Linked DNA regions of Ovis aries. The protein of the gene in region 7 purifies or fractionates together with the protein of the main gene of each other region. This does not show direct contact. Links are inferred from orthologs where the notes say so. Each region holds a gene or a part of one and is shown on either strand. Other genes may lie near its edges.

Region 1 (3,500 bases), about 120 Mb from region 7:
GGCAAAGGGCAGAGTCCACGAGGAGCTGTCTACCCTGCCTGCCTGTCTGTTTCACAGTTGTGTGATTCAGTAATTTCAGTAGGCAAGATGACCGCTTCACTGGCAAAAAAGCAGTGAATAATTATAAAAAGAGCTGCTTTCAAATGCAGAAACCGCCATTATCCAGAAATCTAAGCAGCAAAGTGCTTGGAGGCATTCCTGGCCTTCTTGCGGCTACCAAGCATGAGAAAATGGCAGGGATGATTTATTGCTCTGAGGATCTTCGTCCACACAGGAGTCCAAGAGACTCAACACATGGACCCTCAAACACCATCAGTTGCTCACTTCAAGCACTTCTTCACTTTGCTGTGGAAGATTTTCTTCTGAAAGATAACAAACACGGGAGAAATCTTCCTAAATGATGGTCTCAAAGGCAGGCAGCTAAGAGAACTTTCGAGATAAAATAGGAAGACCTCAGTCAAGAACCATATTCTTACGTGAGTGGCATAAGGCTAATGTTTCCAGTCTCACAAGAATAATAAACCAGGACTCAAGCATGAGCCTGAGGGCCTGGGTCAGAGGATCAGACAGCCTGCTCTACAGAGACCACACTCCAAAACCAACCATTCTAACTTTTCACGGATATTAAAATTACATGGGATTTAACAACAGGGTTGTTAGAAGCAGTAAGCAACTATAGCATAATTTTTAACTCATGTTTTTGTAGCTAGGAAGAGTAAAAATACCTCTAAGGCCATAATATTCATTTTATATTATTAATTTTCATATTCACAATATTCATTTGTAAAACTATACACATTTAAAAAATCGTTTTAAATCGGCCTGTTTACCTTTCTCAGGTTGAGGGTGCTCCAAAGGCTTGCTTTTGGATGAAGAGGTCCCTACACTGTCCGAAGTTTTATTACTTGAGTGGGAACCCTGCTCCACTTCACATAAATAAACATCAATGGGTCCTTTGGTGCTCCTGATATGTACTGTGATAGAATCCTAGCAAAAGACACAGAAAGCATTAAGATGAATGAGAGGATTCATGAATTACATTTTTTCACTTATTAGAACTGTTAAAGTTTCAAGGGACACTTTTGGAAATTCTCATCCAGGTAGTTTCTTTGCTGTCATATATTTGAGAATATCATGTACTTGCTTAGACTGAACCACAGGAAGCACTCACTAGGAAGTATCACTTCGAAGTCACAACTTGAGTGTGACTGGAATAAACAAAAGGTGCTCCTTAACTGTCTGTCATACACTGTCCAGTTAACAGCTAGGGTCTCACGTGCACTGTGGTCTTCTGGGGATAAAAGGGAAGGTGGGTAGGAGCTGCTTCACTGAGGGAGGTTAAGTCCCCTATTGCAAAGAAGAAGACACAACTTCAGTACTTCAGCACGACTTCAGTCTATCAGGCCTTCAGCACTCCATCTGTCCTAAGAATGGTCTCACTCCTTGATTCTGATTCCACCCTGAACACGCATCTTCAACGAGTATCTTTCAACACAAACTTTCCTGTAAGCAGTGGACAGTATTTCCACACACATTAATTTTACTTTTCATTTTAAATGTTTAACTTAGAGTCCTCCTTTCTCTGTTGAGTCTTTTATGAGTTTGGCTAGTGAGCTAATTCCCCAGAGCCCTGTTTGACACTGGATCTTAACACTGAGGCCAATTCTTGGTGATTCCTCTAAGAGCCCATGATAGTACGATGGCTAAGAACAGACTCTGAAACCAAACTGTCTGGGTTTGAATTCTGTTTCTCTCACTTACTGTATGATGGTAAGAAAGTTTATCATTCTGTGCTTTAGATTTCTCATCTGTAAGAGGACAATAATCATGACTACTGAGTTTCTGTTACTCAAAACACATTAAACACATTAAAATGGGTGAAGAGCCTTGAGCTGTGGATCAGGGATGCAGCTAACATGCACACTAGTTATTAAGTTACTGGGACTGCAACAACGCACAGCTGCCGCAGCTGGCTTGCCTGCCTTTGTTGTTGTTTAGTCACACAGTTGTGTCCAATTCTCTGTGACCCATGGACTGCAGTCCACCAGGCTCCTCCGTCCATGGGACTTTCCAGCAAGAACACTGGAGTGGGTTGCCATTTTCTTCTCCAGGGGATCTTCCCAACACAGGGACTGAACCCGCATCTCCTGCACCGTAGGTGGATTCTTTACTGCTGAGCCACCAGGGAAGCCCGTTTCCCTTTAAACCTTCTTAAGAACGGGAGTGGGGGGTGGGGTGGGGTGGAGAATTCTTGCTTGGAGAATCCCCACGTACAGAAGAGCTTGGTGGGCTAAAGTCCATAGGTGGCAAAGAGTCAGACGTGACTTGAGCAACTAAGCACATGCACACACACACAAACACGCATGCACGTAGGTGCGCGCATGCACACACACACACACAAAAGCAGGGCTACCTACCTCTTTGGGAGCTGGAACATCCAATCTGGTTTCTGCCGGCGCTTTAACTGCAATTACAATCTGTTCATAGAAGGCTTGGATGCTGTGAATGTCTTGATACGTCACATATGCTAGTGTAAAAATCAGTTAAGGGTCTCTAAACAGAGGGTGGAGATTAAAAAATAATTTCATATGTAATTCTTACTATTTCATCAACGATCCTTAGGATTTCATGAAGTGTTTTACAATATAACTCAAAAGAATTCTTTTATACTACTGTGATAGTGATGACACTTTCTGGAGAAAAAATAGTAATAAAGTCTGGGTGTTTAAAACAAAGACACCACACGAAGGTATTCAAACCTCCTTGTACTTTTCCCTATCATTGTTACATCTTATGAGAACCTCTAGGGGAAAAAAAGTGTTTTGATGAGAATCTCCTAAAATGTAAGGGAGAAAGAATCTGTTAGTAGTAGAAACAACTTAGAACCAGTTTTTCAGGACTATCACGTACTCATGGGAGTGCTCTCATCCCAAACTATTTTCCATCTTGCTACCTGAATTTTTCTCATTTTATTGTATTGCTTGAAATTTTACCATTTACCTGATTTAAAGGGTTTCCCCAGCATTTTTTTTTTTTAACTCCACAGACCTTTTTGACTGAGTCCAGTGACAGCATTTACTTTCCTTCCAATAACTGTATTGTGGAAACAGGAGTTTTTGACTGGTGTAGAACCTCAGTAAATTTGAAACGTGGACTAGCTCAGTATCGGTGACACCTCAGAAAGGTGCTGCATGGGGAACACGGCAGCAAAACTGTCTAGGAGACTAGGGGAGAGATCAGAATCAAAGACAATCTCCCCCTTTGGTCCCAGAGACACTAAACTGAAGAGCATGACCATCCAACTGCGTCAGGCCTGGTGGACTGGAAAGGCAGTTTCAGTATGATTTCTATAGCAGTTCATTCACTTCAAAAGGTCTGGTTTTGTATCTTAAATATATTAACTAAATTTCCAAGCTGAGCCTACTATTTAAGGTAATTGCTTTGGGAGATTTTTTTTTAGGGTACAGATTAAAGGATATCTTTCATTTTCTTTGTCATCT
Region 2 (4,206 bases), on a different chromosome or scaffold from region 7:
GACATTTTTCTGAAATTGCTTTAGTGTCAGCAGTTCGTCCTTCCAAATGCACAGCAATGGAATGTAGATATTCTTAATTTCAATTTATGTCTTGCTTACTTCCTAGAGAGATTTTAACCAGCTTATAGTAAAAACATTTATGCTAATATACTAAGAAAAAAGCTGTATGGCTTTCCCAGGTGACTTCTCTGAAGAAAGCATCTTTTTAAATATTTATGCTTGTGAAGAAATACAATAACAAAAAAGATGACATGATTCTGTGGGTGCAACTCATATTCAGGGAAGAGGAGAGTCAAAAACTCCACATTTTCAATATCAGTTCCTTACTTCTTACCCCCAGCGTTTCTGACAGCATAAATTAGTAACTTGGCTATTTCTCTCAATCATAATCCTGTCTCTTCATCACTAGGCTAGACTGGTACGGAGTATCAGTAGAGTCACTCATTTTTCTGAAAAGCGATTTTCAGACAGTCCAAGCCTGACCCCTCTTTTTAAACAGGAACACAGCTGCCCTAACTCTACTTAAGATGACAAAAACAGCCTTTCAATCCTATATTCTTATCCACAGAACCTCTCCAAAACGGCTATACTGGAACTCCTGTTTGTGTAAAAGTGCTTATATTAATTAACTCTTTGGTCACCTCAAGATTTCACTAAATGACATGCACACAAATGAAATAATCTGGCAATGATGAATACCCTTCACAGATTCTAAGAACTGTTTTTTAGTCCACCCTGTAAAACATTATCAAAGCTATATAACCAGTTACCTGGAAGAGAATTTAGCCAACTCTTCATACTTAGTAAGATCATGTCTCCATCCAAGAGATGACAAAGTGTGTATCTGCTACAAACTTAGGCTGCTAAACCAGATTCAGGCTGGTTTGTTCTAATCATTATTTTAGTGATTCTAAGCGTACTCTCTACTGCTCCCAACTTCACTTTTACTGGCTGATAAGCAACTATGAACCTCCCTGGCCCTGTTAGCTCACTGTATGTACCCCATCTGAACCATTTAGCACCAAAGGAGAAAAAACAAGCAATTATTCACTGGGGTGTTTCCTTCCACTCAGTCTTCAAACTCCTCTTTGAAGCTACTCTGTTTCCATCTTTCTTTCTGGAATAACAAATTCAGTGCTCAAGGAGCCTTTGTATCAACTGGGCTCTTCATGAAGAGGCTCTTCTTGCATGTGAATACCTATTTAGTTTGTAACAAATGGAGGCTCTTTGGAATATTCACTTTGGGAGCCCATAATTACATTTTAGAACAAGGATGTTCCTGAACTACCATGCTTAGATTTGAAAAAGGTCTGTGTGAAAAAAAAGTTCAAACAAAAACAGCTGTGGGAAGAGTAGCAGAGGGACATGGGGCAGAAGGTTTTTAAAATGAGTTTGTCCTGCTCATTCTAGAATGTGGTTGGAGTAGTTTGTATCCTTCTGACCTGTGAAAAAGAAATTTTAATGCCACTCATAAGACACTCACCTTGAGAATTTTTACCACCACTCTCTCGTTGTTGGTGATGTTAATAGCCTCAAATACTTCACTATACTTTCCTCGACCAAGTTTCCGAACCAGCTGGTAATCATCTTGATTACTGGGAAAGACAAGGAGGACACATAAATGCCAGGACTTGGGGTTAACCAAGGCTATGCCCACTACACATCCTCATCCAGGCGCTTCCACTGATCAAGCACTTGGAAGTGTCTATATACCTCATGCCATAACTTATTCCCTACACGAAAGCCACAACATAAACTTGGCTCTTTTCACTGGACGTAGCTCCTAACCTAACTGGTCCCTCATAACTAGGGGGAGACAAGGTGGGAAGGCAGGCGTCTGAGCCAATCTAGCGAGATGAGCTGAGCATCCATCCTGGAGGCTCACAGGTGCCCCTCTGCCCACAGCACCTGCCTTATTACTTCACTCCCGCAAGGTAGACAGCGCTCGATTTGAGAATCTGGACGTCTTTAAAAAATTTCCTCCCACCCAGCCTCATTTCAAAAACCTCAAAAAGGCAGAGAATTTTAATAGCTCAAGAGGACAGCTGCTGACTTCCCACCCCAACAGAAACCCCAACGCGTGAGAAGGAAGGGCTGCTCCTTCACTTCCACCAGGCTCTGGTCCCTGGATCCCTACACTTGTCAGTAAGAGAGCATTCCCCGAGGTGAGAGGGGTGCGCACCGCTGAGAGGAAGGAACGAGAAGCGGGGAGAGGGAGACGAGAATATGGTGGGGAGGGTCTGCTTCCCACCCCAGAGCCGAAGAGGCGCGGGCCCAGCGGGGAGACAGACCACGGGGGGCGAGTGCGGTTTGCGGCGGGGGTGGGGGTGCGAGGGCCCGGAGGGGGGCTGCGGCGGCTTTACCCCCAGCTCGGGACGTGAGCTTCATAGTCCCAGTATTCGCGGCTCCTCAGGCTGTTCACCTCCGCGTAGACCCGGGCCCTGCTGCCCGCGGCCGGGCCGGGCATGGCGGGCGGGACCGGGGGGCGCCGCGGGGCGCCGAGGGTGGCGGCGCGGCGAGGGGCGCGGGGCGACGGGCAAAGGAGGCGGCGGGCAGCGGGCCGCCGGAGGAGGAGGAGGAGGAGCGCGGCGGCGGGCGGCCGCGCCAGGCCGGGCCCGCGGGGGCGGGCGGGCTGGGGGGCGCGGGGGGCGCCGGCCGAGCCGGCCCGGCCCTGGAGCGGCCGGCGGGGCGGCGGGGCGGGCAGCGCTCGCGCTCCGCGGCGGCCTCCGCTCGGCTCGCGGCTCCGAGGCGGCGGCGCTGTCGGCGGCACCAGCAGCGGCAGCCGCCGGCCGGGAAAGGGTCAGCGACGGCGGCGGCGGCGGCGAAGAAGGAGGAGGAGGAGGAGGAGGAAACCCGGAAAAGGGGCCGCACTCACTAGGAGCGGCCGCCGCCCGGCCCGGGTCCGCCCAGGCTCACAGCGCCCCCTGCAGCGCGGGGGGACCCTCCCGGCGGCCCCGCCCCGCCCCGGCCCCGCCCCTCAAGGCCGACTTCCAATCTCTCTCTCCTGGGTCTGGCCCGCCGCGCTCACCACAGGGTCGTCCCCAGCTGCAGGCTGTGGCCCTGGAGCCTTGTGCCTCGTATACCGTTTTAGGACTCCCCTAGAGACCCCTGCCCCAAACGCTCTGCCCTCTAGTCATCCAGAGTTTACCCACCCCAACCTCCCGGATGGACCCTGTTGTGATCTTTTTGTCACCCAAACTGTTCCCAACAAGTCCCTTCCTAATGACTTGCTCTTAGCTCTCAGAACCGCTCCGTCATAAGATTTCCCCTTCCTTCCCAGAGACACGCCGTCTTCCCCTCAATGGACCGTGACCGGTCACCCATAGACCCTTGAACTTCAAGACTTGCCCGTCTCTCTCATGTATCACCTTCCTCATAAAACCCTTCTCATACACTATCCCCAAAATTCCCTTCCAGAACCTTCCCTAAGACCCCTCTGTATGTTCACATCGGACACTTGGTTTAGCTGGAGTCAGCCAGGTTGCTGGCTGTAAAGCTCCTATTTTTCCCTCCATAATTAATAAGCGATACTTTGAGATCATGTAAATACTCTGGTTTTGTTTGGGACCACACCAGGAGACGAATTGTGAGAGTTCTGCCTGTAGGGTTGGGCTGGGGGTTGGGCATGGACTGAGGGTGGGGTGGCCAACCAAACCTTGGCCTATTTTATTATCTTGCTTTCTAGCCCTGAACATTCTTCTCTCTATGATCTTCTGGGCCTTTTGTCTTGCTTTCCCATCCCACTTTTTTTTTTTTTTTTTAATCAACACAACTTCCTCGCACAGCCCAGTTTGTTCTAATCTTTTTTTCATATTCTATTCTCTAGATGAGACTGTTTCCTCTTTTTTTGATATGGTTAAGAGCACAGACAGTGGAGTCAGATTCATCCCAGGTTTGAATCCCAGCCCTGCTACTTACAAGCTCTGTGACCTTGGGCCAACAACTTAACCTCTCTGTGCTGTAGATTTTACAGCATAAAAACTGTAATGGCATCTACTTCATAGGGCTATGGGGAAAATTAGACAAGTTAAACCGTGTAAGGCAATGTCACAGAACGCTCAAACTACCGCACAATTGCACTCATCTCACATGTTAGCAAAGTAATGCTCAAAATTCTCCAAGCCAGGCTTCAGCAATACATGAACTGTGAACTTCCTGATGTTCAAGCTGGTTTTAGAAAAGGCAGAGGAACCAGAGATCAAATTG
Region 3 (3,500 bases), on a different chromosome or scaffold from region 7:
AAATCATTCATGCTTCTGGTGCCGAGTAGACAAACAGGCAGTTTTCCCTCTGTCGTCTGGGCAGAGTCTTCCAGCCTTAGTGAATAGACGGGGAAATGGCCGCCGTGTAGCCTGTTGTTTCACAGAAGCAGTCAGTTGTGGGTGCACATGACGCTGTGATGAACTGTGTTTTGAGGAAGCCAGTACCTTTCAGATTCTGCTTTGGGGTTCAGGGGAGAGGGCTCTCATCTGCCCAGCTGAGCAGGCACAGAATTCTGAGTACACCTGATGGCTCATGGTGGATTATTCACATTCGTGTTACCTGCCTGTCCGCCTCCCCTGCAGCCTAGAAGCCCCATGTGGCTTGTGATACAGACTATAAATGGCCCGTGCCTTTGTTTCCTTTTTCCTCAATCTTACAGTTATTTTGGGGACCCCTCTGTCTCTAAGAGTCTGTTAAGTCTACAGATGAGCAAGTTATATGTACACTTTTTTTTTCTCCCCTGTGTAGTATCTTTTTTTTTTTTTTTTCCTGTCACCCACCGGGGTTTCTTGTTCTTTCTGCAGGTGGTGATTCTGGACGTCCGAGTTCCCTGCACGCCTGTCGCCAGGTTAAACAACCACCGAGCATGCGTCAATGGCATTGCGTGGGCCCCACACTCATCCTGCCACATCTGTACTGCAGGTAATTACTGGAGGGGGGTGATGGGAAGGATTACTGGAGGCGGGTGATGGGAAGGGAGGTGGGGGGAGGTTTTCCTCTGGTCTCCTTAGCATCATAATCCTCACTCTATCCCAAGGAAGGTTTGAGAGATTTACAGAGAGTGATGCCACTGAGAACCTCCCTACACTAGCGTAGCTGAAACAGTCTGAACTCCCAGATGATCTTGTACCCTCAGTGATATCAGAGAATCTGTATACTGTCTACATCGTATACAGTTACAGGCTTGTGTTGCCCGCTGTGTGCCCCCAGAATCCTGGCTTGCGCAGGACGTGCATCCAGGAATATGAGAAGAGGGGCAGTCTCCTTGGCTGTAACCTCCGCCCCGCTGCCCCCCGCCCCTGCACTGAGCTCTGGGTACCTTGATGGGCCCTGCAGAACCTGACTGGATCTGCAGCATGGGATGTGTAGTTCCCGTTTCACCATCTGCTAGACCCCAAGAGGACCCCTTAAAAATGTGCTGGCCGTCAGAGTTCTTTTATCATAGAAATAATGTCTGGTATTAAAAATTAAACAACACTGAAACAACGCAGAGGTGTATGAAACAGGAGGGTGAAAGTCATCGTCCCTCCTTCCTTTCCCATTTCCACCTTAGCAGTGTAGTTTGGTGGTTTGGGGCCAATTCAGCATGAATTTGGAAGCATGAAGCTTTTCTTCCTGGGGCCCTCTGCTCATGCCTGTCCATGTTGTTGAAGCGCAGCCAGAGGCCCAGGCCCACCCACTTCCTCTGAGCCTCAGGTTGTGGCCTGCCTTCTTCACTGTGGCCCTCGCTGATGCATGTATGTCCGTAGGATGGGGGAAAATCCCATTAAATTGAATCATCAGAGCGGGATCTTTAATGACTCAGGTACTTTAAGTGGCTGAAGGTGCCATGTGGGGGATCGCATCCCGGCTTTCTTCCCTGATGTCCGCCTCAGAGGAGATGAGGTGTTGGTCTGAGTCCCTCTGCCATCCCCGCTCTGCTGTGGGGAACGGGCCCTGAGATGCAGAGGTGGAGGGCTCTGCCATTCACTGGTGCGGAGCTCTGTGGCGCAGGGCACCTGCCTTAACATTTCCTCATCATTGAAACCTCCCTCCATGGGGTTTGGGTGAGTGAGTCTTTGTAAAGTGTGCCCCCGCCCTGATGCAGGGCTCATGACCCTCACTGCCTGAGTGGTGACTTGCCTGCTGGCTCTCTGTGCCCCCAGCGGATGACCATCAGGCCCTCATCTGGGACATCCAGCAGATGCCCCGGGCCATCGAGGACCCGATCCTGGCCTACACAGCCGAGGGGGAGATCAACAACGTGCAGTGGGCATCGACCCAGCCTGACTGGATTGCCATCTGCTACAACAACTGCCTGGAGATACTCAGAGTGTAGTGTCAGTGGCGTCGTGCCCACACGGCAGGGGCTCGTGTGTCTCCCGCCTCTGCCCCACCCCCAGAGTAAGAAGACGCGCGTTTCCGGTGGCCAGTACGTCTGTCATCGCTTTGCACCCGCTGTTAGCAGAAACTGCTCCAAAGTCCCCGGCCAGCCGCCCACCGCTCGCTGTGCCGGACTCAGCGCAGCGTGGCGCCTCCTCAGCCCAGGGCTGAGTGTTTCGATTTCTCTCTCCTTTCCTCATCTCCTTTGGTTCTGCTATTAAAAATTTCTGTATATCTGTTTGTCAGCCGTCATGTTAATGAGCTCTGTGGGCAGCGGCTGTGTCTGTATTCATCTGTCGCAGATGTCTCTGTCTGCCCAAGACAGCAGTCTGGGTCCTTGTCCATGTGAGCACTTCCTGGGAACAAACACCAGTTTGAAACTGTCTTTCTTCATGTTACCCGTGTCTCTTAACAAATTTCAACTTTGTATATTTTTTAATCTATCGGGCTAATTTTTTAACGAAAAGAATTTTACTCCCTGGCCTCTTCCTTGGTTTTATCGCCCTCCCTGTTGACACCTTCCTCTCTTCCCTCCCTGCCTGGATCTGGCCTCAGGCCCCTGACCCTCCGAGCAGTTTGCCTTCTTGAATCACTGCCTGGGCGGAACATACCTGACTGGGAGTCCCAAACCTCCTCGGTGCTCTGAAGTCGGCCACCTCACACCTTTCCTTGGCCTGGCTCTTGTCGAGGGCATTCTGAGCTCCTGAATAGACATGTGACCCCTGCTCTTACTCCCTCAAGTACATACGCCTGTCCAGCCCCCCAGGACCTACTGAGCTAGCCAGGCTAATGGGGGTGCCCGACTCCCAGGGGACGGTGGCAGGAAGGCTGAGCTTAGAGAATGTTTCCGGTCCACAGTTTAAGAGTCTTGTTTTTCTCTCCAAATATAAGCCCCCAGCCATCCTCTTTCATGTCTTGAACGATAGGCAGGCGTGATGCATCAGCTGAACTTCAGTATCTCTGTTTAGTTCACTGTGACTGGTGGTACGTTGGCCACTCTTCCGCTAGAGAGGAGAGAAAGCCCTCCTTGGCAGGTGCCCAGTCTGAGTGTCCATCCCAAACAAGATCTCCTCTAGGCTGTGGGAGACAGTCAGCTCTTGCAGAGGATGGATTCAGGCTGGGGTCATCCCAGGCCATCAGTTAACCAGAGAGCAAGAGAAGCTTCAGAGACCCAGGGCCAGCCAGTTCAGAGCCCCGCAAACCCATCAGTCGCCCCGCCCCAAGTTTCAGTTCTGAGCAGTATTGGACATGGAGGCGGTGGGTGTCCTTTTCCGTTAGATGAATGAGTTCCAGGGAGGGGTCTTGTGTGTGACTCTGGTGGTAGGCGAGTCCTTGGGCGGGCAGAGTTTGGGACACGCCCAGAGTCGGGGGGGAGTCTGGTTTGCCACGCTCTGCC
Region 4 (4,184 bases), on a different chromosome or scaffold from region 7:
AGTCTCTGGCCCCTTCCCCGCTCCATCTCCCCACCTCTTGATGTCACCATTGCATGGTCACCCAAGAAGGTGGAAAACAGAGAAGAGACCCGTCATGGAGGAGGGAGCCGAAGACAAGTTGGATATTTAAGACTTCGAATTCAGATTTTCAAGGGATTAGAAAACTTTCTCTCTCTTCAAAGGAGAGTTTAACGGGGGTGGGGGTAAGGCTTTGTATCAGGCCCACAAAGAAAGGGGGCGCAGTGACAGGCGGGCGTTCTCCTGGGAAGCCCGGGTCAGCCTTCTAACGGAACACGGAGCAGCACCATCTCCCCGTGCTGTCCCGGAAGACACAGTGACGGTGCAGCCCCAGGGAGGAGGAGCAAGTGGACACTGGTGGAAGGCTCTCTAAGACCGCAACTTCTGGCACACTCCCCAGAGCAGGCAGGACTGACGGACACACGCGTGGGGTCATCACCCGCCTAGGTCACGTCTCTGCCAGCCTAGGGGTTTCAAGGCGAGATGTGGCCAAAAACATTTGGATCTTCAACCAAAATTACGTTGTCACCTTTCAACAGAGGTACAGGCGTTCTGTAGGGTAACTGACTATAAAGGCAGAGGTTCCGAGAAAGCCAGAGGTTTGTTTCAATGCTGCGGCAGCGCTAGCGAGCTCAGAGTGTTTCACGAGTGATTTCTGTGCAGAAATGATTTTGAATATGAGAGCTAGTTATCCCCTGTAAATACTGGTCAATGACTGGACTCTCGAATCTGTGGGGAGAGGACTCGGGTTCGGACTCTGATCCTGTGTTTCTCCTCTCTCCAAGCACCCAGCCCTCACCCAGAGGCTTGTCCGTCTGTGCACCTGAGCCCCAGGGAGCGGCTTCTGGCTGCCACATGGGGGTGAAGACTCCAACACAGTGAGAAAGACGGAATTTCTTGGAAAGAGCAGTGGGGTGAGGAACACAGACTTTCTGAGAAACAGAACGGGGTGGGAGGTGCAGGCACCACAGCCCTCCCAGTGGGGAGCTATGCATGTTTCTCCACAGGGAGGCAGAGGTGTCCAGCCTGCAGGGACAGAGGACGGTCCCTCCGAAGCCTTTTACTCCCCACTCCTCCCGCCGGGTCTTCATCACCCCTGTTGCTCTAAGTGTAGAAAGCATACCGATCAGCAGGAAGAATGGGAAGATTCCTGCTTTTCAAGAAACCAACGCTAATTAAGGGTAAGAGTTCAAGACTGGAGTGGCTTGCCAGAGAAGCAGGTTGAAAGTGGTTAAACTGTGGAACCGTCCCAGGCAGCGTGTAAGGCGATAGCTCAAGTCCTCTGTGCCCCATGAACTCTGGACTCGGCCCCCACGCCCCGCCTGCCCTGGCTGGGCTGATGGTGAACCGCCGGGGGCAAGTCTCCAGGGTCAGACTCCACTCAGCCCAGGCCACCTGGTGATAAGGAGCAGGCCGGCACCCTTCCGTCCAGAAGACTCAGAGCCTGGGCAGAGGCCGGGCGTGGGCGTGGAGACCTCGGGCTGGGCAGGAACAGGTGAGCACTCGGCGGACAGGGCACTGCGCGTGCACACGCTGTCACCTCCGAGCATCTGCACGAGCACACACCCGACCTCCTCTTCCTGTGCACACACATGCACCCGCTCAAACACGCCTGCGGGCACAACTCCAGCCTGCCTTGCTCCTCCAAGAGCACACTCACTGTGCGCTACTCGAGCCCGCTCCCCCGAGTGCGCACATCTGCACGCGCGCGCGCACACACACACTTCTGGCCTCTGTGCACACTCTCGCATCCATCCGCTACTACTGGCTGTGCACACACGCACGCGCACCCCCATCCCTGGCCCCGTGTGTGTACACACTCATCTCCACACCTTCCACTGGTTCCCAAGTGCCGACGGAGTGCGCACACACCCCCAGCCCGTGACGCCCAGGAGCATGCACGTCCACACACACCAGGCCTCGGTCCCCGTGTGCGCACAGGTGCACACGTCCCAGTTCCTATCCCCAGGGTGCACACACACGCACGCGCACCCCCATCCCTGTGCCCCGTGTGCGCACGTGTGCACACATCCCTGACTCAGCTCCCCCGCACGCGCACCGCGGAGTCCCGGGCCAGGCCCTCCTCTCCATCCGCAGCCGGCGCGCGCGCACACGCGGGCACGCGCGCACACGCGGGCACGCGCCGGAGCAGCTCATCTCCTCCAAGCGCGGGCCGCCCGGCGGGAGGAGAGTGGGGGGCGGGGGGGGGGAGGAGGAGGAGGAGGAGGAGGAGGAGGAGGGCGCCGAAGGCGCGAAAAGGCGCGCAGGCGCGCTGCGGGAGCCGGGCCGCCGCCCACGTCACCGCGCCGCGCACGTCACGCCGCCCGACGCTCGCAGGGTGAGCCCCGCGCCCGGCGCCTCGGCAGGGCAGGGACCCCGGCCGAGCGCCGCCGGGCCCGCCGCCCCCCGCCCGCCGCCCGCGGCTGCGCGCCCGCCGCCCGCGCCGCCCGCCCGCCAGGTGCGGCGGGCCGGGGTCCCCAGGGGCGCGCGCCGGGCGCCCGGCCGCGCCGCCCCCGCCCCGCGCCGCGTGCGCCCCGGGCCCCCCGCGCGCCGGGCCCGCCGCCGGGGCGCCCCGGTGACCCCCGCGGGGGGCGCGGGCCGGGGCGCGGGCGGGGCCTGCGCGCAGCCTCCGGGCGGAGCGGCGCGCGCGCCGGGCGGGGGTCGGGGCGGGGCGGGCGCGCGGGGCCGGGGGCCGAGGACGGGGCGCGGGCCCCACCTGCCCGCCGGCTGCCGGCCGCGGCGCGCGGGGGGCGCTCGCGGGAGGCGGCCGCGGCCTAGCGCCAGGCCGGAGGCCGCGGCCCCGGACGCCCACCTGTCAGAGTTACCGGTCGGCCGGTGGTCGCGGGTGGGCCCCGGGGGCGTCCGCGGGGAGCGCGTGCGCGCGGGGCCGCTCCGGGTGGGGTGGGGGGGGGGCATCGGGCCGCGGTGCCAGGCTGGTCCACGCCGGGTCTTTGTGCGCCTCGGGGAGGCCGGCGGGCAGCCGGGTTGTGGACGCTTCCCTGCCTGAGATGACTTTAGAGTGCCCGGGCGGGGGGCGTTTCTGGGCCGCCCCCCGCACCCCCCGCCCCGGGACGGAGCGAGGGCTTGGAGAGGAAGGGACTCCTGCCGCTTAGATGGGTGGTGATGCTGAGGGGACGGTGGCGGTGTCAGCTTCTCGTTTCAGCCTGGCTCATGACTCCCCTCTCCTTCTTTTTACCAGGAAAACCATTTTTCTTTTCTGGAGGGTGACCGTTACTAGCATCGATTTCACGGAACTGGTAACATGGCAAAAGATGTGAGTACGTGTGTCTGCTTTGTGCTGGACCGATGTTTGCCCAGCACTGCGTTCTCGGTCACTCCCCACCTTGTTTCAGAATGACCACACATAAACTGCGGGCCTGTCGGTGTTCAGACCTTTCCAGCAAAGAGACACAGTAAAGGTGAGGAGGCGGGGACAGCCGGTGGCGCTGCGCGCGGCCTGAGCCATGCTGGCCTCTGCCTGGGCCACGCAGGCCTGAGCGGTGGAGGCTGTGTCTCGAGGCTGGCCGCCGCCGGCCCCTGGGTCTCTTGGAGGCTGGTTGGAGGCTGGCCGACGCCACGCTCCTGGGTCTCTTGGAGGCTGCGTCTCGAGGCTGGCCGCCGCCGGCTCCTGGGTCTCTTGGAGGCTGGTTGGAGGCTGGCCGACGCCACGCTCCTGGGTCTCTTGGAGGCTGCGTCTCGAGGCTGGCCGCCGCCGGCTCCTGGGTCTCTTGGAGGCTGGTTGGAGGCTGGCCGCCGCCGGCCCCTGGGTCTCTTGGAGGCTGGTTGGAGGCTGGCCGCCGCCGGCCCCTGGGTCTCTTGGAGGCTGGTTGGAGGCTGGCCGCCGCCGGCCCCTGGGTCTCTTGGAGGCTGGTTGGAGGCTGGCCGCCGCCACGCTCCTGGGTCTCTTGGAGGCTGGCTGACTTGTGAATCAGCCAGGGCTCTGTGAGAGGACCCCCTGCCTGTGGAGGCGCGGGGCTGGCGAGCCTCCCTGAGCAGCTGCTTTGTGTGCCCCCCGGGAGTTAGTTCAGCTTCCACCCATGAAGACGCTCAGCACTGGACTTGGCAACTGTTTTTCTCAGAAAAAAATGAAATGTGATAAACAGAATGTGAACAATTCTGCTTTGTTTACATTTGTTGTGAACCCATAGAACATCGTGAGTAAACTT
Region 5 (3,500 bases), on a different chromosome or scaffold from region 7:
AAAATAGCAGAAATGAAACCAAACAATAAAGGACAGCAAACATTATTACCAGCAAGACTAATATGACATGATTGATTTTCCATTACAATCCACAGTATCCAGTCCTAATTACTTGGATTGAAATTTACATACTTTAACACCATACTGTCACACAGTCTCACATTAAATCAAAAAGTTCAAACATTACCACTGAATTTAGAAACTGAATGGCTGTTTACAAATCAATGCTCTGCTGGTATATAATGCTTAGACTTTCATATAAATGATGTACTATACAATGTGAATCAGCCTAGACAGTCCTTTGAAAATTGACTGTCAAAACTCAAACTACTCCAAGAAGCATACCTAAAAGATATGAGAAAATTAAAAGTTGAGGCATGGTTTACAGTCCTTCTGTTTACAGTGCAAACAGGGAGGAAAGTCAGTAGTTAATTATAATGGCATAGGTATGGTAAATTGTGCTATTCTTTAAAAAAGGATTAAACCATTTAAGCAGGGCCAAGATAAATTATTTCAACAAAATAGGTAATGATGAAAATTTTAAACTACACTCCAAGCAATATAAGAAATATATAAAATGTTTACAGTCACGTATAAGAAATAAGTATTCTCTTTACACAGCTAAATATATTACCAAGTACATAAAAAAAGTAGGGCTTCCCCTCCAAAAACAAAACAAAGGAACCTTCAAAAAACCCCAGAAACAAAAGCAACCAAAATTGCTTTATAAGAAAGAAAAACACCACTTTCTTACCATGATACATTGTTAATGCATAATATATTATGCTTCACCAATGATAGAACAATATCCTCTGAGTCTGAAAAGGTTTCTCTTAGGATACAAAAGACCTAGGCATGCTTTTTAGTTAAGGGAAAGAATCATGAACAGAGAGAACAAAAAAAAAAATGCAAGCTGAGAGAAGGGCTAAAATAAATTAAATCAAAAGAAAGGGGAAAGGAGGAAAACAGAAAAGATTTGGGGAAGGAACAAAGGGAAGAGAGAAAAAAGAGAGGGCAAGAAGAAAAAAGAACAACAACAACAAAAAAAAACAAGGCTTGCATAGTTTTCAGAGAATTATACCTTCTTGAAGACCAGGATGTATGACCTGCTTGTGCCGCAAGGCCTTCAAATCTTCTATCAGTTCCTTTTCCAACTGGGAAATTCTTGCTCTGCAACCTACTCAGAAAACAATGATAAAAATAAGCTGCTATATACTACAGCAGACTACACATTGCTTCTTTCACTTCTAGAACCAAATCCTCCATCTCTCTTTTTTTTTTACTATTATATAATACCTGGGTCATTTGCAGCTGATGCCTGAAGACTACAAGATTCTTCACTTGTTCCATCAACTGCATGAATATCTAGAGCTTCCTGTATTTAAAAAGAAAAAAGGAAAGAAAAAAAGTGGTTCATGTCAGTTCTAAGGATTTAAAAGTAAACCAGGGGCATTTTTTCCATGTTGATACTTTTCACTATTTTCTAAATGTTCTAGATTAACATCACTTTAATAGTGGGGAGAAAGCAAAAAATTTAAATATAATACACTCAGCTACCTGACTTAGAACTGTATTTATGCCCATTTATTGCAATTTGTATACTGATTTCTTCTGCGTGCATGCTAAATTGCTCCAACTGTGTCCGACTCTTTGTGACCCCATGGCTGTAGCCTGCCAGGTTCCTCTGTCCATGGGATTCTCCAGGCAAGAACACTGGAATGAGTTGCCATGACCTCCTCCAGAGGATCTTCCCAACCAAAGGATCGAACCTACGTCTCTTATGTCTCCTGCATCGGCAGATAGGTTCTTTACCACTATCTCCACCTGGGAAGCCCCTGTTTAATTAAGATAGATTACTCAGCAATTAACAAAGAGGGAGGAAAAGAACAGGCAGAGAGAATTCAACCTCTGTGTAGTCAATTTACAAAGACTAGGTTTCTCTAAAAATCTAAAAGAAAAATAATCTAGTTGAAGCGTTGGATTAATACTGCTAACCCAATATTTCAGATACTCCCCTTCCCATGCACACAACCTCATATAATGGATGCATTCACAGTAACTACATTCTAAGATAACTAGCAGCTAGTATACAATTCAATGGTGATTATTTGGCCTTAGAAAGAAAGCTGAAAATGACAATCTTACCTTTGATTCAAAGGAAACAAAGAGAACACCATCTACATCTTCCAGGTCAGGTTTCACATCTGGAAAGGTACTCCCAGGGCCTGTAGGAGTGTTCTTCGTAGAAGTTAAAGATCTTCCTGTGTTTTTAGGCGGCCGCCCTGCCTTAGACAGTTTCAGTTTTCGTGGCCTTCCTCTTTTTCCAGGGACATTTGGAGGGGCATTCTGATTAGCATTCACAGTCCTAGGAGCCGCTGAAATCTTAAGCATAGTTTTCTTTCTGCCCAAGTCCTCTTTTCCTAAAAACGAGTCCTCAACTGAACTCTTTGAACCATCAAGTAGTTTTTCTGTGTTAACAATGTCAGATATATCAGGGTATTTCCACTGAGCTTCTTTAAGTGAGGGATATTTTTGTACTACTCTGATATCTGGTGAATGTCTTCCAAGATCATTTTCTGATTCTCTGCCTAAGCAGAAGCCAGTCTCATTAGAATTTTCAATGTACGCAGGCAAATAGTCTAATTCTGTCAACAGAGAAGATCTATCCTTCCGAGATGTGCAAAGCATGTTGTCAGGGAGCTCAGAAACCTTCACTGTGCTTTTGGTGACAGCACAGGGCTCCAGATAGACTACTGGCATCTTTCCAGCATCTAATTTGAACATTTTCGCTTTAGCAACACCTGATGGGCTATTTGGTTGCCATTTAGAAGATGGATGGTCAGCTTCTAGGTTATCAGCTTTATTGTGCCTTTTCAACTGTTTCTCTAGTATAGGATCATCATCACTGTTTGAGTATACATCTGTTTCCTCATCTGTCTCTTCCTGTTTCACAGTGACCCCTTCTGGGCACTCACCAAGTTCATATTCATAATCATCCAAAGGCTCTTCTTTAATGACAACATTGAAGTTTTCATTTGGGCTTAATGGTGACGTTACATGGGAGCCATCTTCAAAACTGTTGCCAAGGCTGGAGAGAGAGGGTAGGGAGGGTTAAAAAGGACAGAATTATCCATAAATAAGACTCAAGAAGGGAAAGGTAGAAAAAGAGATTGTTGAAAACCAAGTAAAATCACATCAGATTTCAAGAGCCATTCATTAAAAAAAAAAAAAAAACAACAGCACTCTGTATAACATAACAAGCTTCTCAATGGTTTACCAACATCACACTTTTACATATTCCATCAATTTCTCATGAAAAATTTATAAAACAAAGGGTAAAGTTTTAACAAGTAACTCTCATGACTAAATCAAAAAGCAAGATATGTTGTAACAGTTATTTTTCTAATAGTATTCTTCATCGCTTCTCAGCCTTTTGGCTAAGATCAAACCTAACTACTCTTCAAATGAATTCAATTTTGAAAGTTAGCTGGCACTGATAC
Region 6 (4,157 bases), about 73 Mb from region 7:
AGAGGAAAAGAAGACAGGATGAATGGAGAGGCAAAGAGTATTAGATGCTTCTCTTCTAAAGAGTAAAGGGACCAAGAAACAGGAGTGTCATCACAGACCATCTAACCTGCCTCTTTGCACAGGCAGTCCCCACACTGGAGGCCCTGACACCGAGGTCCAGCAGCTGTACAAGCATCACACCTCTGACGCCAACTGGCTTCCAGATGATTCACAGGGATTCTTATCTGCCCTCATCCTCTTACCTGGAGGTCACTTAATTCTGTATTTCCTTGCCTCTCACTTCCGACTCACGAGCTATTTCTTGTCCCTTCCCAGAGAGTAACCAGATCACATTAGGTGTCGTATATTCTCAAGACCCAGGCTTAGAAATCCACCAACTATTATTATTTACACAAACGCAAAAGCACCACCATGTTAATGATCGGCATCTAATATGTGCTGAATGAATATTAATTGTGAGAAAAGAATGAAATCACAACTTGAAATCAGACTGAAATGACCCTTGGGGATACTTGGGGTGCCTCTGTCTCTCTCACAGGTCCTTAGACATCAGATCAAAGAGCCCTTTACACCTGGACGGCTCCGCCCACCTGGCCTACATCTGCCTCTCCATCCATAGCCTCTGAAACCTCCCTATCTTTGGGGGACACTTTGAAGGCACCTGGCTCAGAACCACTGCCGTCCAAGGACCGGGGCGTCCCAGGGCTGAGCAGATGCAGCGGGGAGGTGGGCAGCTCCCCTGCTTCCCGATCCTCATGTTCTGCTTCACTTGACTCCTCAAGATAGGAGCTGCTCTCACTGCCCACACTGCTGTTGTAACTCCGGAAGCTGTCATAGCCGCCGAAGAGCTCCAGGTCATCGTCTTCCTCTTCCTCCTCCATCGGTTCTGAAGACGGAGTCTCCTAGGAAAAGGATGACACAAAGCAGGCAGGAGCAATCGTGGTTGGCTTACTGTAAGACAAGGGAAACTGCAGGTCTGCTATCAACTCCCTTTCCAGGTCCTGGTCAAGTCAACGCTTCTGGGCCGAGCGGCAGGTACAATCAAACACCCCTTTCGTAAACACCAGGATCATTACTCTTGTTTATACCTTTCTCAACTGCAAGTCAAAAGAATACCTTAGCCAGACAGAAACATGTATTAGGAATTCACCAGGGTCCTCTGCGGATTTATACATGACGACATTTTACCACAATTCACACAGAACAGAGTGATGTGAAAATATACTAAGCATGGTGCTTCGTGAAGACATTCTGGAAAAGATGTATTCCAGAAACTCATTCTTCCCCCTTCAGCAGGTATACACCAAAGTAATTTCAACTCAAAAACAATTTAAGTCAGACGAAAGTTAATTTGGGGCCCAGACTGCCCTAAAGAGGATTTGAGGCAAATGACATACTAGCACTGTGGGACATACCTAGCTTTGGACCTAGCCTTGATCCTAACTAGCTGTGGGTCCTTGGGCAAGTTATTTAACCTGTCTGGGTCTCATTTTTCTCATCTATAAAACAACAACAAAAAAAATTGGTTCAAAAGATGTGCAATGTGAAATGAGGTATTCTATATGAATCTACGTGGCATGTAGCAGAAAAGGTGTGAAGCGTTTGGGCTCTAGGCCAAGACTCCAAAACCATCCCTACTATATGACCTGCAGCAGTTCAATCTCAGTGCCTCGGTTTCCCCATCTGTAAATGAGGACAATTCCACCTATTTCATAGGCTTTGGGGGAGAAGTAAGGGTTACTATGGGAAAGGCACTCAGAATAGTGACATGCAAACAGCAAGTGCTCAATAAATGCTGGTGATCATTACTGGTTAAAAGCACAGGCACTCAAATCGGATATGCCGGAGCTGGAATCCGGGCTCTCCTACTTAGGGCTCTCGGTTTCTCCATCAGTACAATGGCTGTAACAAGCCTTCTTTAGAGTGCTGCTGTGCGCACCCAGGCGCTATGTAAAGCCTAGTTCTGTTCCCAGCAGTCAGTGACAGCTCTGAAACTGGGAGTTATCATTCACACTCTACACTGATGATGATTCTTCTTGACTCTCGGAGAGTTTGTGAGCGATTCCACTTTATATTTACACTACATATGCAAATGTGCCAGAAAGGACATTCAAATATAAGGTAACCAGAAGCCAAATGATGAAAGGATATATGGGTTGCAGGTGGTGGGAAGAATGGGAAAAGCAAAACAGGGAGAGTTTTGGAACCTGACAGACTTAGTGCCCATCTCCTTCACTTTACAGCTGCGTGGCCCTCCTGGGGAGTGGCACTACCCTCTCCAAGCCTCAGGTGCATGATCCATAAAAAACAGACAATAACACAGGACTTGTTACTGTGGGATAACGCACGAGAACGCTCCAGATACGGAGTGTTTATTAAACTTTAATCTTCCTTTACTTCCCACCAGGATGTGACAGGCCTCACAGTCCCTAAAGAGGCCACCATGAGACAAGGGGGAGAAGGAAGATTCAGGAGCTCTCATATCCTGAACCCAGTTCCTCTTCCCCCAGGCCAGTGAAGCTGTTCTTCCCTCAACCTCACTCGGACCCAGGAGAACGGGAGCAAAAGGCGATGCCAATCGCCTCTGGCCTTGCTCAGCCTAACTACCTGTTTATCCATTCTTCCATCCTCCACCCTCCAGGCGTCGCTCAAAGGCCCACCGAGCGAGGCTCTCGGGGTTCCCTTTCCGAGAAGTCCTCTCCCTCTCACCTCGACGCCCCGGGGCTTCTCCATGAGACCTAACACAGTTTCTTCAACCGTCACCAGGTGCAGGAAGCCATATTGGCCTCGCCGCTCTCCCGGAGCTTACTCATTGGCCGCCTCCCAGGGCCGAAGGCCAATCACGCTGCAGGAAAGAGGTAAAGCCGGTTCCGCGCTGGCCTGAGCCCCGCCTCCCCTGGAGGCGGGGAAGCCGCGGGTGCTTATGGGACTTGTAGTTTCCTTTGGGCTGCGCGTGGAGGGGGTCGTTGCTGTGGCGCCGTGAAAATTTCCCCGCCCCAGACCTGCCTGACCCGGGAGGATAGTTCTTGTTTCTCCACGGTAACCTCTTGCTATCACACCGACTCCGTTCTTCATTAAACAATTATTGAGTACCTAAGAAGGTACTAGCAACCTTCCCTGGTGGCTCAAAGGTTAAAGCGTCTGCCTTGGAATGCAGGAGACCAGGGTTCGATCCCTGGGTCGGGCAGATCCCCTAGAGAAGGAAAATGGCAACCCACTCCAGTACTCTTGCCTGGAGAATCCCATGGAGGGAGGAGCCTGGTATGCTACAGTCCATGGGGTCGCAAAGAGTCAGACACGACTGAGTGACTTCACGTAAGAAAGTACTGTTCAGGCACCCTCCAGGAAAAACCTCGCCCTTTCCCTGATGAGAAATTAAACGTGCCCTAGTGCGGGGATGCCTAGCAGAGAGACTGTTCCCTGTTTAGGCAGAAACTGGAATACTCACTCTTAGGTCCAATGGTATAAATGTCCCACATGCTTAAAATTCTGCAACACTCTACCTTGCATCACCATCTCCTGAAATAAACCTCAGATATGAGGCTCTCTGCCTCATTCTTTTGGGACCCACAACGGTCTTTAAGGACCCACAACCGTCCTTACTCACAGTTCTAGGTGCTGTAGTAGAGCTTTAAAAAAATATATATTCATTTATTTGTCTGTGCTGGGTCTTCCTTGCTGTGTGGACTTCAGTTGCAGAGAGGTGGGGGTAAGGTGGGGGCCACTCTTCCTTGCAATTCGTGGGCTTCTTATTGCCGTGGCTTCTCTGGTGCAGAGTACCAGCTCTAGGACACAAGGTCATTAGTTGTGGCACACAGGCTTAATTGCTCCACAGCACGTGGGATCTTCCCGGACCAGGGATCAGAACCCTGTTTCTTGCATTGGCAGGCGATTCTTTACCACTGAGCCATCAAGGAAATTCTATCATGGAGCTTTACAAACATCTTAAATCAGGGACAATCAGTCACTGTTTCACAAATGAGGAAACAGTGGCCCTTTGGGTTTAGACACTTTCTAAGATCACATTTGATTGGAATTCAAGATTTATTCCAAATTCTTTGCCTATGCTATACTATACTCTTAATTGAGAATCTAAATATAATAAGTAGGCCTTGACATGTGTTAAATATATTTCTAAATTTGAGGTCCACTAGATA
Region 7 (4,133 bases):
TTCCTTGTCTTTCAAATGTAGTTAGGCCAGTTGATGAGAACATTTGCATAGTACAAATGTGTAAATTTCCAGACCTTTAAAACACAAATTTGTGTAAAGAGATTTACAAAGTGCCAGCACATAGTGCTAAAGAGTGTGTTTTTTTTAAAAAAAATTATTTTAATTAGGCCAAGTCTGAGAGCCTAAGCAAAGTTCTTAATCAGCGAGGTGACAGAATGTTACCAGAATTTTATTATTAATCTGGTTGTGAATTACTGAATAGGTTGAGGAGGTGGGGCTGGAGCTGAGAGACGAGTTGGATGGCAACTGCCAGAGTCCAGGAGGGCATCCAGTAGGCTGAGGTAATCAGACCTGGGAGGACAGTGTTTTGTTTTTTTTTTTTTTTTAATTTTTAATTGAAGGATAATTACAATATTGTGTTGGTTTCTGCCCTACATCAACATGGATCTGCCATAGGTATACATATGTCCCCTCCTTCTTGAGCCTCCCTCTCTCCTCCCACTCCACCTACCCCACCCTCCTGGGTTGTCACAGACCCCCGGTTTGAGTTCCCTGAGTCATACAGCAAATTCCCACTGGCTCTCTATTTTACAGATGTTAGTGCGTATGTTTCCATGCTACTCTCTCCATTCATCCCACTCTCTGAAAGTGTTCTTTCCTTAACAACGTTCACGGCATATGCAAGCTCGTTATTTAAAAAGAAGAAAAAAGGTCTTATGAGTGTTTTCTTCATTGTTTTTTTTGAACCAGTTACTGTAGAAGCCTGGGAGTCGAGAAGAGCGCATCTGCAATTAAACCAGGGTTAGAGTCCTAGCTTTATCCTTTTCTAATTATGTAATATAGAGGAAATCACCTAACCTCTCCCGAGCCTCAGTTTCTTTTCCTCCGGAATAAGGGCAACAATCCTTACTTGGTAGAGCATTCGCGTGCACAAAACCAAGTGGCTTAAAGCACCTAGCAATGGCGCTCACTGGTGCCTCCCGCCTGCCCCCGGGGATCCTTCGGGCTGGGGCGGACGCGCCAGGCCCGGAGAGCGGTTCTACCTGGAGACCGCGGCCGCGCACTCTGGTCCGGAGCCGAGCTGACCTCCGAAAGCCGGCCCACCTTGGCCCAGGCTTCGGGCGGGATGGCAGAAGATAACCCTGACAGAGAGGCTCGGGGGACGCCCAAGGGAAGCGGGCGGCTCGGGGCAGAGAGGCGGCGACGGCGTTGGAGGCTGCGGCGGCCACCCCCACGCCGCCGTCAGCGAACTCCCCGCGAGTGCTGGGCCGCGCTGGCCGCGTTTGAAGTCTCCGGCGCGGCTGCTGGTTGGCTGGCGCGGGTCACGTGGCCCAGGCAGGAGTTTCCCCGACAGCTGGAGGCTGCGTGGGATCCGGCGGCGGCTCCGGAGCTCGGCGGCGCGGCCTTCCCCACCCCCTCCCTCCCTCCTCCCCCGCCCGCTTCCGCCCGGCTTATTATCCTCCTTATTGACAAACAGAGCGGCTGCGGCGGCGACTCTCGGCGTGCGTTTGTAGCCAAGTCATGGGAGACAAGAAGAGCCCCACCAGGTAACAGCGCCCGGGCCCCCGGGCCTGGACTGTGCAGGCGGCGGGGCCCTTGCGCCGGGCTTCGGGCGGCCGCCACGCTCGCCGCCGGGGCAGCGGGGCGAGAACGGGGGCGGTGCCGCCGCTGTGCGAGCGCTGCCGCGTGAGGGGCCGGCGCCGGCCGCCCCACAATGGAGCCGCGATGGCGGCGGCTCCGGGTGTCCAGCGGCCCTGGGTGTCCAGCAGCGGCCCCGGGTGTCCAGCGGCGGCGGCTCCTGCTGCGGCCGCGCTCGCGCCCCCGCCTTCCTGACTCCCCTCCCCCTCCGAGCGGGAGCCTGGCGCGCCGGGGACCGGCGGGGCGGGGGTCGCGGCACTGGGGCTGGGGGCGGGGCGGGGGCGGCTGCGGGGCCCGGGCGCGGCCCGCTGGTGACCCCGCGCCGCGCCGTGTCCGGGTTATGTCCTGCAGGCCGAAGCGGCAGCCGAAGCCGTCCTCGGATGAGGGTTACTGGGACTGTAGCGTCTGCACCTTCCGGAACAGCGCAGAGGCCTTCAAGTGCATGATGTGCGATGTGCGGAAGGGCACCTCCACTCGGTGAGTCCCGGGCCTGCCCCGCGCGCCGCCAGCCCCCGGGGTCCCGGCGCCGAGGACGACCCTGCGGCCGCCGCCCCCTCCCAGGATACTGGCAGACCCGGCTGGCCGAGGCGAGACTGAGGTGGTGGCCGCGATAGGAACTGGGTCAGATTGATCACGACCCGAGCTTTGCGGTGAGGGTAATTGAAGAGGCTGTAATGTTTTTTGCTGCCAAGAGAGAATAAATTATTTAAGGGAGGCATTAGCTCGACCGCGATTAATTTGTGTCGCTGGATGTAATGCCACCCCCACCCCCTCATCCGCACCACATTTTGTGGATGAAATAACGTTGGCTGCATTGTTGTGTTAGTGTGTAGGAATCAGAGAAATATCATGAAAACCTCTTTAGAAGCAAACGATGTAATTTAATTTCGTTCCTCAAAAAAAGTATCTGATTAGAGAATACACAATAGATTAAGCTTCCTTTTTTAATATAGACTCTGGAAAGGTCAAATCAGGGATTTGTGTAGTGTTTTAAATCTCAGTTCTCTAATGTTTTATAAATAGTTGGAGGTGAGCCCAGTCACAGGGACACGTTTTTTTCCTGAAAGTATCTGAATATCTTTAGTTTGATTAAATGGCAATCTATTTTACTATACAAATGAGATAAAATGATCTCTGCCTATTTTCAGTCTTTATTTCATTGTCAGCTTACAGTATGATAACAGTCTTTTAAAAAACCACTTAAGTGTATTAAGTGGATAAAGAAGATCATTCAGGAGATTCAAAGTCAGTGACATTCTTGAACTGCCAGCACTTAGTTGCTATGATTTGTGGCCTGATATTTAGAGGGCATATATTTTTGATTAAAGTTTCTTGGAAAATGAATTATCACGAGTATACAAATGCAATATACTGTTGCTTTTGAAAAGGCTATATGATATTAACCTTAGGGGAATATATTCAGTAGAAGTTATGATTCTAAAAACGAGGAGATATCTTGATTCTAATTAAATTTTAAATGTAGAGACATAAATGGTTATAAAAAACTTAAAATTTTAAGATTTGCTTATTGAAGCTAGCTGCTTTTGACATACCTGTCTTTTTGTAAACCATAATATGCTGTTTGTATAGTCTTATTAGATTCAATAAATTAAATATTTTCCTGATATCTTTTAAAAAGCAAACTTTCGAACAACTGCTAAATTCAAGGGAATGTAATAGAACATACGGAAAAGGAAAAAGCACCATTTGCTGAAATGAATGTGGTAGCTATTTTTGGACCCGTGATTTAAGTATTTTGAAAAGCAAAGTATCTTTATATCTTTTAGTTTATATAAGGTTTGATTTGGTTTACATTATATTTGTTTATCAATGTAGTACTTTGTACTTTTTAAAATGCTCAATAAACAATGTTAAGAAAAGGCAGGAACTTTAATGTGGAGATAGTTATAATCTTAACTTCTGGTACGGTATTGTTGCTTTTTGTTGTTCCCTCTCTATGTTCTTGTAGCCATTAGAAAAATACTGAAACTAGAAGAGCCTATATGTTTATTTGCAGGGACAGCAAGGAAGGGGGGAAGCTGGTGTCCTACTCCACAGCCAGTCTTGGGGTTAGAGGAACCCTGAGAAATAGAGTAGGTGGTGGCAGCTCAGAAGAGAAGAAACAGGCCGAATACCTGGCACCTGGAAGAAGAAGGAATATAGTGCACAGGGGAGTTGGCCCAGGACAGAGAAGTGGGCCTAGTTTAAAAGAGGTTTGAGGCCCACGTTGGGGGCCCCTGACATTTTTTACCAGTACATCTGAGCTCTTATAGATCCAATTTTTAGTGGTGGAAACATTTCTTGAGAAGGACTCAGAGAAGCATTGTCATTTGGATTGAAACTGAAGAGGCTCTGGGCAACTCACCAGAAGTCTAAGGGACACTCTGTTCCTAAAAGTAAGTGTTCTACACTACGACCCTCTCAGCTGCTTCCTTCCTCTCTCTGAATTTGTCTCTTCTCTTTTGATTTTGGCCCTAAGTTAAACCTAAGAGCTC

The links.
Region 1: the proteins of YAF2 (region 7) and E2F6 purify together in Homo sapiens (affinity purification with mass spectrometry; 4 studies listed by BioGRID and IntAct, counting the BioPlex papers as one, with this or other methods). This does not show direct contact. The link is inferred for Ovis aries from reciprocal best matches to the Homo sapiens genes YAF2 and E2F6.
Region 2: the proteins of YAF2 (region 7) and CSNK2A2 purify together in Homo sapiens (affinity purification with mass spectrometry; 9 studies listed by BioGRID and IntAct, counting the BioPlex papers as one, with this or other methods). This does not show direct contact. The link is inferred for Ovis aries from reciprocal best matches to the Homo sapiens genes YAF2 and CSNK2A2.
Region 3: the proteins of YAF2 (region 7) and DCAF7 purify together in Homo sapiens (affinity purification with mass spectrometry; 3 studies listed by BioGRID and IntAct, counting the BioPlex papers as one, with this or other methods). This does not show direct contact. The link is inferred for Ovis aries from reciprocal best matches to the Homo sapiens genes YAF2 and DCAF7.
Region 4: the proteins of YAF2 (region 7) and TFDP1 purify together in Homo sapiens (affinity purification with mass spectrometry; 3 studies listed by BioGRID and IntAct, counting the BioPlex papers as one, with this or other methods). This does not show direct contact. The link is inferred for Ovis aries from reciprocal best matches to the Homo sapiens genes YAF2 and TFDP1.
Region 5: the proteins of YAF2 (region 7) and MGA purify together in Homo sapiens (affinity purification with mass spectrometry; 5 studies listed by BioGRID and IntAct, counting the BioPlex papers as one, with this or other methods). This does not show direct contact. The link is inferred for Ovis aries from reciprocal best matches to the Homo sapiens genes YAF2 and MGA.
Region 6: the proteins of YAF2 (region 7) and L3MBTL2 purify together in Homo sapiens (affinity purification with mass spectrometry; 5 studies listed by BioGRID and IntAct, counting the BioPlex papers as one, with this or other methods). This does not show direct contact. The link is inferred for Ovis aries from reciprocal best matches to the Homo sapiens genes YAF2 and L3MBTL2.

The regions. Positions count from the first base shown.
Region 1 is NC_056056.1:20,407,617-20,411,116, forward strand, and holds part of E2F6 (transcription factor E2F6), read right to left. Parts: coding exon 3,479-3,500; intron 2,532-3,478; coding exon 2,418-2,531; intron 988-2,417; coding exon 831-987; intron 363-830; coding exon 313-362; 3' UTR 1-312. UniProt on the Homo sapiens protein: Inhibitor of E2F-dependent transcription. Binds DNA cooperatively with DP proteins through the E2 recognition site, 5'-TTTC[CG]CGC-3'. Has a preference for the 5'-TTTCCCGC-3' E2F recognition site.
Region 2 is NC_056067.1:25,635,747-25,639,952, forward strand, and holds the start of CSNK2A2 (casein kinase II subunit alpha'), read right to left. Parts: upstream 2,801-4,206; 5' UTR 2,468-2,800; coding exon 2,364-2,467; intron 1,596-2,363; coding exon 1,484-1,595; intron 1-1,483.
Region 3 is NC_056064.1:47,621,860-47,625,359, forward strand, and holds part of DCAF7 (DDB1- and CUL4-associated factor 7), read left to right. Parts: intron 1-546; coding exon 547-664; intron 665-1,887; coding exon 1,888-2,060; 3' UTR 2,061-3,500. UniProt on the Homo sapiens protein: Involved in craniofacial development. Acts upstream of the EDN1 pathway and is required for formation of the upper jaw equivalent, the palatoquadrate. The activity required for EDN1 pathway function differs between the first and second arches.
Region 4 is NC_056063.1:86,051,448-86,055,631, forward strand, and holds the start of TFDP1 (transcription factor Dp-1), read left to right. Parts: upstream 1-1,384; 5' UTR 1,385-1,513; intron 1,514-2,330; exon of another isoform or gene 2,331-2,476; intron 2,477-2,751; exon of another isoform or gene 2,752-2,863; intron 2,864-3,217; 5' UTR 3,218-3,280; coding exon 3,281-3,292; intron 3,293-4,184. UniProt on the Homo sapiens protein: Can stimulate E2F-dependent transcription.
Region 5 is NC_056060.1:35,312,770-35,316,269, reverse strand, and holds part of MGA (MAX gene-associated protein), read right to left. Parts: intron 3,089-3,500; coding exon 2,146-3,088; intron 1,376-2,145; coding exon 1,297-1,375; intron 1,178-1,296; coding exon 1,082-1,177; intron 1-1,081. UniProt on the Homo sapiens protein: Functions as a dual-specificity transcription factor, regulating the expression of both MAX-network and T-box family target genes. Functions as a repressor or an activator.
Region 6 is NC_056056.1:218,193,311-218,197,467, reverse strand, and holds the start of L3MBTL2 (lethal(3)malignant brain tumor-like protein 2), read right to left. Parts: upstream 2,801-4,157; 5' UTR 2,734-2,800; coding exon 2,710-2,733; intron 903-2,709; coding exon 662-902; intron 1-661. UniProt on the Homo sapiens protein: Putative Polycomb group (PcG) protein. PcG proteins maintain the transcriptionally repressive state of genes, probably via a modification of chromatin, rendering it heritably changed in its expressibility.
Region 7 is NC_056056.1:144,742,232-144,746,364, forward strand, and holds the start of YAF2 (YY1-associated factor 2), read left to right. Parts: upstream 1-1,333; 5' UTR 1,334-1,475; coding exon of another isoform or gene 1,476-1,521; coding exon 1,522-1,547; intron 1,548-1,978; exon of another isoform or gene 1,979-1,989; coding exon 1,990-2,115; intron 2,116-3,655; exon of another isoform or gene 3,656-4,034; intron 4,035-4,133. Other genes in the region: uncharacterized protein LOC132659532, read right to left, coding at 859-1,304, 1,476-1,523. UniProt on the Homo sapiens protein: Binds to MYC and inhibits MYC-mediated transactivation. Also binds to MYCN and enhances MYCN-dependent transcriptional activation. Increases calpain 2-mediated proteolysis of YY1 in vitro.